Linked DNA regions of Daphnia pulex. The protein of the gene in region 1 purifies or fractionates together with the protein of each later gene. This does not show direct contact. Links are inferred from orthologs where the notes say so. Each region holds a gene or a part of one and is shown in the gene's direction. Other genes may lie near its edges.

What was found.
Region 2: the proteins of flap endonuclease 1-like (region 1) and cell cycle checkpoint protein RAD1-like purify together in Homo sapiens (affinity purification with western blotting; 3 studies listed by BioGRID). This does not show direct contact. The link is inferred for Daphnia pulex from reciprocal best matches to the Homo sapiens genes FEN1 and RAD1.

What each region holds. Positions count from the first base shown.
Region 1 is NC_060025.1:1,071,642-1,076,131, reverse strand, and holds the start of flap endonuclease 1-like, read left to right. Parts: upstream 1-1,375; 5' UTR 1,376-1,486; intron 1,487-1,537; 5' UTR 1,538-1,645; coding exon 1,646-1,727; intron 1,728-1,785; coding exon 1,786-1,888; intron 1,889-1,949; coding exon 1,950-2,116; intron 2,117-2,208; coding exon 2,209-2,318; intron 2,319-2,375; coding exon 2,376-2,579; intron 2,580-2,638; coding exon 2,639-2,857; intron 2,858-2,932; coding exon 2,933-3,136; intron 3,137-3,212; coding exon 3,213-3,269; 3' UTR 3,270-4,010; intron 4,011-4,093; exon of another isoform or gene 4,094-4,189; 3' UTR 4,190-4,382; intron 4,383-4,446; 3' UTR 4,447-4,490. UniProt on the Homo sapiens protein: Structure-specific nuclease with 5'-flap endonuclease and 5'-3' exonuclease activities involved in DNA replication and repair.
Region 2 is NC_060028.1:2,684,434-2,689,189, forward strand, and holds cell cycle checkpoint protein RAD1-like, read left to right. Parts: upstream 1-1,848; 5' UTR 1,849-1,975; exon of another isoform or gene 1,976-2,427; intron 2,428-2,486; exon of another isoform or gene 2,487-2,511; 5' UTR 2,512-2,591; coding exon 2,592-2,705; intron 2,706-2,804; coding exon 2,805-2,903; intron 2,904-2,963; coding exon 2,964-3,118; intron 3,119-3,186; coding exon 3,187-3,314; intron 3,315-3,370; coding exon 3,371-3,477; intron 3,478-3,540; coding exon 3,541-3,605; intron 3,606-3,630; exon of another isoform or gene 3,631-3,670; coding exon 3,671-3,890; 3' UTR 3,891-3,907; coding exon of another isoform or gene 3,908-3,943; 3' UTR 3,944-4,114; coding exon of another isoform or gene 4,115-4,226; 3' UTR 4,227-4,259; downstream 4,260-4,756. Other genes in the region: polymerase delta-interacting protein 2-like, read right to left, coding at 4,115-4,226, 4,305-4,384, 4,444-4,569, 4,630-4,756. UniProt on the Homo sapiens protein: Component of the 9-1-1 cell-cycle checkpoint response complex that plays a major role in DNA repair. The 9-1-1 complex is recruited to DNA lesion upon damage by the RAD17-replication factor C (RFC) clamp loader complex.

The sequences.
Region 1 (4,490 bases):
TCCGTCCGAATATTTAATTGCCGAGGTACTTTACCTATCCGAGCATTTAAAAGGGCTTCTTTGAAACAGTTGACATTTGATTTCAAAATAGAATTTATTTATAACTACTGCCGTTTACATGAGAAGATTAGAAGCTGGAAAGGAAACTTGTGATTGACTCAATCTCGTTCTTATAGCTATATAGCCTAGTGCTGATCACCCTGAGAGCTGCCAGGCGTCTAAACATGTATAGGTTATACTTTTAGCCTATAAAGTTGAGCGAGCTGCTGATGCTGGTGCTGAGATATGCTCAGATCGATTTTCGTTATGCAAAAGCTTTCGCCGTAGATTATAACGTGAAAAGCGGCAACGCCCGTTATATTCGCTCCTGCTGAAACCCGTTCGTGCTCTGCGCTGCCATGAATAAATATCAACCGATGCAAAACAGCCCAGAGCTTATGCTGCTGCTGTGCTGATGTCTGACGGGCATTTTGACATGGTCTGGCTGCTGCGACAGTTTTCGTCCGTTTTGCGGCCATTTGGGTGCGAGCGCAGTGGTCGTGGGCCCGCGGATTTGTCAAAATAAAAAGTCTAAAAATCCCTTTTCTACTAGTTATGCAAAATAAAAAGCCAATTGGATTTTCGCTGAACAGCTTCTTTTCTTCTTTTCTCTCTCCGTTGACGTCGGTTAGATAAGATATCACAAGCGTCAGTTGCATGTCAATGAACGAATCGATTTTGACCACCACAGCTGCTGTGCATTGGCTCGCATTGGCTGCTGGCGGATGGCGGATGCGGTATACACGTCGGGTGGAAAGAGACTGGAGAGTTAAGTGTGTCTTGATTCCGCTGTTCTGCATTTATTTGGCGTCAAGCGTTATGGGAGGGGACCAGGGAGGGAGGCGCATCCCCCAGCACCCTAACGAGAAAAGATGCCTGTCAAGAACTCATTAGGAGCGTCATGAATATACCTATACGTTTTTATTTAACCAAATGTCTATATAATAGCTGCGATGAAACCTTTAATTGTTTGAAGCGTTCCTGCATATTAATAACTGCGACAAGTGATGTTAATGTAAGTCTAAACAAATGAAATATCGACTCAATCGATGTTGCGAAATTCAAATGTCAAAATCATGTCAAAATCAAAAATGCCAAATCAACGACTAGGCTAGGCGACTAGGCAAATGACAATATAAAATAGTCTGACATGCTAATTATTTAGGGTATAATATTCTATAGAAACGGTTAATTAAGAGAAATTTAGACGGGAAAGTCGCTTTCAGCCGTTAAATCGCTTGCGCTAGCCCGCCTAGCCAGCAGATGGTTCTATCTCCGCCGCTAGATGCCGTCCGTGAGGCGGTATTATTATTGGGTTTGGCAACGCTGCATTCAGCTTTGCTGCTTCGTCTACTTTTTGGCGCCTTTTCCGTGACACAATTCGTGTTCTGCAGTCTTCCGGAGCTACTTTCTTATTTATTCATTTAAGATACACATACAATTTCATAACGTCTGTTGACTCGGAGCCCCATCAATCATAAAAAAAAAAAAAAAAAAAAACGTCTGTTGAAAATACTGGCATCAGTTTGATTTTAGAGAAAACAGAATTGAAGTTTCATAATAGTTCTTAAATCCTAGTTTCACCATTCGATTCTCACTGCTCAGAATGGGTATTAAAGGGCTGACCCAAGTGATTGGAGATACTGCTCCTACTGCCATTAAAGAAAATGAAATTAAGAACTATTTCGGTATCTTGTTAAATAATTCATCATGTAAATACCTGTAACCCTATTTGTGTTCTTTCAGGCAGAAAAGTTGCCATTGATGCTTCAATGAGCATTTACCAGTTTCTTATAGCTGTACGATCTGAAGGGGCTATGCTAACCTCTGCCGATGGAGAAACTACTAGGTTCAGTTTTACATATTTTCCATCCCTAAACAAGTATATTGAAATGTTTTCTTTCATACAGTCACTTGATGGGTATTTTCTACCGGACCATTCGGATGGTTGATAATGGAATCAAGCCTGTTTATGTGTTTGATGGAAAACCACCTGACATGAAAGGGGGTGAACTGACCAAAAGAGCAGAGAAAAGAGAAGAAGCATCAAAGCAACTGGTTCTTGCCACAGATGCAGGTATTTACAAGAATTTTATGGTTGTTCTGTGCAGAATTTTATGGTTACACGAAAATTGGTTTTTAATCTATCTATCTATCTATCTTCAATAGGTGATGCAGTGGAGATGGAAAAAATGAACAAGCGTCTGGTAAAAGTAAACAAAGGACACACTGATGAATGCAAACAACTACTTACTTTAATGGGAATACCTTATGTTGAGGTTGGTTGGCCGTTTTTGCATTGGCAACATTTCAGCATGACCATTTCATCTGTCTAGGCACCCTGTGAAGCTGAAGCTCAGTGTGCAGCTTTGGTGAAAGCAGGAAAGGTTTATGCAACTGCAACTGAAGACATGGATTCATTGACCTTTGGTTCCAATGTCCTGCTGAGATACTTGACATACAGTGAAGCCAAAAAAATGCCCATCAAGGAATTCCATTTGGATAAAATTTTGGACGGACTGTCGTACACAATGGATGAAGTAAAAATGCTCGAAGAAAATCTTAAAATGTTTGTCTTATTAAATTTTCAATTTCTTAGTTCATCGATCTATGCATCATGTTGGGCTGCGATTATTGTGACACGATAAAAGGAATAGGCGCCAAAAGAGCCAAGGAACTCATAGACAAACATCGATGCATTGAAAAGGTGATCGAAAACCTTGATACCAAAAAGTACACCGTCCCAGAAAATTGGCCTTATCAAGAAGCAAGACGACTATTCAAAACGCCTGATGTTACAGATGCAGAGACCCTTGACGTAAGCCTTAAACTTACTACGTGTCAGATCACAACCTAATCGCACTGTCCCATTGCCTCCTCTTTCCATATATAGTTGAAATGGACACAGCCAGATGAAGAAGGTCTAGTCAAATTTATGTGTGGTGACAAAAACTTCAACGAAGAGCGCATTCGCTCAGGCGCCAAGAAATTGTGTAAAGCGAAAACAGGGCAGACGCAAGGCCGACTTGATTCGTTTTTCAAAGTTCTTCCTTCTAGCAAACCGTCTACGCCTTCCACACCGGCTTCAAAGCGCAAGGTTGGTTGTATTATCTGTTTGTTTGTTTTTTACCGCATGATGCATTTAAAATTAATTTGCCATTTTTTATTAATAGGCCGAGGAACCGAAAAAGGGAAGCAAAGGAGGAGCCAAATTTAAGCGTGCAAAATAATTTATTTAATGCTGAAACAATGAATTGTGCCCATTATTATCGATGTAACTTGCTTACTCGTTTTACATGAGGCTATTACTATTAACCATGATTCATCACTTGTAATTCATTCATTTAAAATTTTGATTTCTAATTTTAATTATCATTGATCAGTAGTATCTTTATATTTATGGAATTCCTCGCCATTCGTTCCATTAGCTTATACTAAGTTTTCTCTGGCTAAAAGGAATGAGTTTTTGCTTCGACCGTCTTTTCTCTTTATACTTTGTGTAACTGATTCCGTGAAAGATGCAGTGCATATCTGAAATTCTCATTCGAGATAGTATCTTATTTTCGTTGTGGGAGTTTGAATTTCCCGTCTTCAAATTTCGTGTAATTAGTTATTTGTATAGCCTACTAGCCAGAAACAGCGTTAGGGCCTAGCCTAGTTTGAAAAATTACCCTTTGCCACCTGGTCCTCTAATGAGACATCTATCGTCAAAAAGAAAATTTAAGAAATAAAAAAAAAAAGGAAAAAACTCGAATAGCGATTACTTTATGAAACCTGAAAATTATCTATCAATCATTAGAAAACGGTATTTAGTTCAATTTATTATGCCACAAAATTACAGATAGATTGCTTGTGGCAGGATATTCGTTGTTTACAAAAATGTTCTATGCAGTATAGATGGCGTCTGTGTATCGCCTCAGATTAATATCTCACACTGCACATTCAGAGAACAGAAATTCCAAACATTAGAGGTACTTCGTATTCTAACAGAGAAAGAAATATTTTCAATTGTAGACTAATTTGGTCACATGTGTTTGTTGACAAAACACTTTAGGAAACTACTTGGAACTTAATAACGTATTTGTCTACTTTTGAATATTTACATATTGTTGGTGTGTGTCTGCGGATCCAAATGCCTTTACATCCGAAGCCTTGGAGAGTTTTACTTCTGTGTTTTAAATCGTTCATCGACCGATGATTTGAAAATGTTGCATAAAAAACGAGAGAGGAATATTTGTTCAGTCAATAACTGCAGATCATACAGAGAGGCTAATCGTTGGCCAGAGCCATTGACCTTTCATGAGTTTCCAGCAGACTTGGCAAGGAGGAAACTGTGGTTAGAAGTAAGATTTACATATAATTCAACAAGTGGGAGATTCTGAAAACTAATAATTTTTAATATTCTAGATAATAGAACGAGAAGACTGGGTGCCAGGAGACAAAGCGAAAAT
Region 2 (4,756 bases), on another chromosome or scaffold:
GCCACACTCACACAAATAAAATGATAATATATTAAAGAGTCTCTCTCTCTCTCTGCACTAGCCGACCTTCGATCGTAGACTGGTGAGCCAGTATCCGTTGCGGCTGCACTACGGCGTGAGTGGCGACCTCCTTCTCCTCCTCCTCCTCCACCTACCATCATCACTTGCCACCCGTTACCGCACGCTCTCCCTCCCTCCCCCCTCTCTTATATAATCAGCCATGTCGTTGGCTGCGTGCGCGACGACTTTGTTTTCACTCCCGGACTCTCTCTCTTTCCTATCTAGCTCTTGACCTCCCCCATCCGCTCTACAATGCACACCACCACCCTCCCAGTGCGAGCGGGATACACACACACACACACACTGGTTAGCACGTGCGGGTTGTGGAACCGAAGTGGGCGGGGCTTTGCCACCCTTTTTTCGGATCTATTTCGGCGTGTTACCCGCGCACGCACGCCACTCTCCCCGAGATTCGCAGTTGCGCAAATAGATCGCTCTCCTCACCCACCTCTCTCTCTCCCACTCCCGACACCCGTTCTTGCTTGTTCTTGGCGAGCCTGGAAAAATAAAAGAGGAGGAGGAGCTTTTTTGAATGGACTGTTGCCAACGTCAAAATGCCAATGCGCAGGCTCTAACTTCGTAGAGATCGAGGTCAACAATCGATGTCGACATTCTCGATGACCGTAGTGTGACGTTGGGGAAGAAGAAGAAATAAAATAAAAAAGACACGCTCCAACAGAGGCACCTGGCGGGGGCAATTACAGATTCAAAGGCCAGAAAACCAAAAGATTGATGAGCTCATATCCTCCAACACCAAACACAATAGGGAACTGATTCACAACCTTTGGCTCTGCAGAGCTCGAGAAATTCAAGACTGGGGGTGCACGAGCTTCTAAGCAGTCTGATATTATAAAGACTTTGCATGCACAAACTGATGTCAGTATGAGCAATCCTGCTTGTTTCTAGGAGGGAACGGGGACTAGATTAAACTTGTGCAAAGCAATTACCTTGGGTCTGTCGCTCTACAAATAGAGCGGCTTCCAGGAGAATCTCCAAACTCATTGTTGGACAACCACCAGCCGCTGAGTGTTAGACCTGTGGGTCAAGAAGACACAAACAGTTTTAGTCAACAGTGTAACAGCATTGAACAACAACGATGACATCCAGGATCCACATTGCATCAATATCAAATGAAAAAAAAAATAAAAATTCACACAGACGCACGCACACAGGGTCATTCGCTTTTGGGTTTCAGTACTCGTTTCATTTTGGCCTGAGGCTGGCGGCCTTGAATGAGCTCTCTATAGTCTATCAAAAGAAAACTTTTAACAAGAGGAAAATGCCTCTTTGTTTGCTTGCTTTTAATGTCTAAACTAAATGCGACAAGAATTAAATCGGCAAAAGATACTGCATTTAGTCGAAAAACCAAAGTCACTCTGATCGCCAAAGTGACGTTTGAAAACTAACACTACATCACAAGATAATATTATCGAGAAAAACTACGCACTTCAAGCGAGGCACCAGGCTACACGTGTCCCAGCGATGACGTCACCAAAATGGGCGTCACCGATTTTTGCCTTTAGGTTTTCTTGGGGGCGCCGAAGCTACTACTATTGCTGCTTGCCGAGTAGTCTACGTGCCGAATTACTGGGTTATAAATGCCGGTAAATCAAACAATCGAAACTCGATTGCACACATACTTAGCCACAAAAGAATTACACTTCACTTCACGGTTTAAGTCTCAGCACCGAAAAAGACGTTTGGGCTGTTTTTTGTCTTGTATCTGTTATCACGTTGCTCCTCGCACGTGAAAGAGAACTGCTCCCCTTCAACACCGCCAACTAAGGCGGTACCGAACTGAGTACACGCGTCGACCGCTACAACAACGATACTGGCGGCAAGTTTTCTCCCTCGCTCCGAACCATCAACAGCCATCAACTTGGTTCTTTTTTCATTCGTCCTTTACTGCTTTTATGTATTTTTATTTAAAATTTCATCTTTTCATGACTTTTACATTTAAATTCATTTCCCGCTGCCTTAATCAGTTGAAAACTATGTTTGGAAGCCAAAACATTTCTAGGTGGCGCAATGGTCGCATACGACCAATGGGCGTGCTCATTTTCGAATTCCCCATCTCTAAACTGTTGTTTTCTCGCGTTGTACAACGCCGCAATGTTTCTGACTTTCTGTTTAATAATAACAATATTTTCCTGTTTGAATCAATAAGCCGGTAGGCTTTTTCGTCGTCTCGAGATTAAAACTTGAAATTTTTACTTCCATTCCATTGCAGACAGTTTAGCACTTTTTAAATCCAACAAATTTGATTGTGCTGTATAGTTGATTGTGATAAACACAACCAGATTTTGAATTCAGTCAAAACTAGAATAATTCGTCTCGAATCATAGTTCTCTTGGATGTAACAGTTGGGTCGGTTCATTTTTTGTGCAGTACATTTTTCTGTAAAAAATCCTAGCCTTATTAACCAGAACATTTTTTCACTGATCATTTCAGGATGATCCTTTAGGAACCCTTTGCATAATTCTCAAAACTACTCCCACAACATTAAAGAGCAAACGAGTCCCACATTCACCATGCCAAATTTTCCATTTCAAAACACGTCTGGAGACCAAAGTCACATCTTGATGATACGTATGGATAATGCAAAAATTATCTCACATATCCTCAAATCCATAAATTTCAAAGAGGTAAATTCTTCAAGAATTGTAATACAGAGAAAACATGTTTTGTTAGCGATCAAAAGCTAATCCTATTACATCCTTCTTGTGATTTTGCTTTCCTTTCAGAATTCCGTATTTTGCTGTACTAGAGATGGATTAAAAGTCACAGTTGAAGACATGAAAAGTGTCCAGCTAAATGCCTTTATAGAGCCTGGAGTTTTTCAAGTAAAAAGAATTCACAAAAACAATAATTTTCACAAAATTTACTAACTCTTTGAAATTTAGAGTTATGTTATTAAAGAAGATGAGATTAAATTTCAGCTTAATTTAACTGTGCTTCTGGAATGTTTGAATGTATTTGGCTCTAACAACCTTCAAAGTGGCAGCACACCAGCCTTGAAACTCTACTATAACGGCCATGGGACTCCCGTTTCTATCTTGTATGTAAAACTACAAAGAATAATCGTTCTTTATACTTATTTCGAATTATAATTTTTTTTTTTGGCAGGCTGGAAGAATCAGGAGTTATCACTGACTGCAAGATACGTACAGTTCATTTTGATCCTGTCCTGGATTACGATTTTGGGTCGGCTAACGTCATCGGTCGTATCATTATGAGTTCGGAATGTCTTAAAGGTAATTAAGCGTTGAAAGAAGACAGAAATTTCCTAATATAATTATTGTTTTTATAGAGGTGTTTTGTGAGTTGGACTCGACTAGTGATACTGTTCAGTTTTCTTTGTCACCTGATTCGTCAAATTTTCGTATCACAACATTTGGTCATTCAGGAACTTATCATGTAAATCACGTTGTAAAGTTTTTAGTGAAGCGCGTTCTAATTCTAAACGTTTTGGGTTTCAAGGTCGATATTCCGAAAGAGAGCGATGTAATAGAAACTCTTCGTTGTACCTCGGCAGTGTCCTTTAAGTACGAAATAGATACACATACATAATAAGGCGTACACGATGTATTAGCTCAATTTCTGACTTTAGATACAAGCTCTCCTTGATGAAACCATCCATCAAACCCCTTGGAATAGCGCAAAAGGTTTCGCTACGAATCGACGATACGGGGCTCATATGTTTCCAATTCATGATCAAGGTAGAAGACAACCACAACTGTTACATCGATTTTTACGTAAGTTCATTTTTTTTTCCAAGTTCTATCCGTCAAATTACGTTTTACAACCGTCCTCTCCCTTATACACTCTAATAATTGATTTCTTATAGTGCCCTGCGGACGTCGACTTCGACGACGACGAATGAATGCCACGAGAACGAATTATTGACCGCATCACTAAAACGAAAAAAATGCCCTAGAATTATTCTAGAACGAAGATCTTTGAAAACCTTAGAAAAAACTAAAAAGCCAGCAGTTGTCTTTCATGTACAAAGTTTGTTGTTGTTCATATTTCATGATTATCATGAACGACTCCATTAAACCACGCCGGTTGGCAAGCTATTATCCTCGTTCTTGCTTTCCAATGAAAAGGGAGGGATGCGACAGTCAAAGGTGTGCCCATCTTCTCTCTCCATTCGAAACGTTCCCCTGTTCATAAAAAAAATAAATTATTTGAACTTGGCTGTTGTACTCTTTAATAAATAGTGAAAAATAACTTGAAATTACCACATATGCCCTGATGGTGCTTGTAGTGAAATATGGCTGCTATACTGGAACGCTGGTTGTTCGGGTGACAAGACCGGTTCCTTAAGAACGATTTAATGTTACATTCTAATTTTGAACGGTGGTTATTGACGTTAATTACCTGTCCAATTACTCCTCTTCCTCGAACCGTTTCTAGGGTACCCGAAAGACTGAAAATACGCCAGTGCCGTTCACGTAATTGTACAGACAGTTCTCCCAAGTTTTCGAGCCGGATACAGTAACGCCACTGCAAAAGTTAAAAATTACATTTGTAAAAAATTTGATTCACATTACCAATGGAACGAACCCAAAAGACAGTTGAATTTTGGGATTCTCGGCATCCCATGTAAAAAGGAGTAACGGTTACACGGATATTCTCTGTCGTTTCTTTGTGTACATCTGATAATTCCAGCCAAGGGTGATTTCTTTCTTGC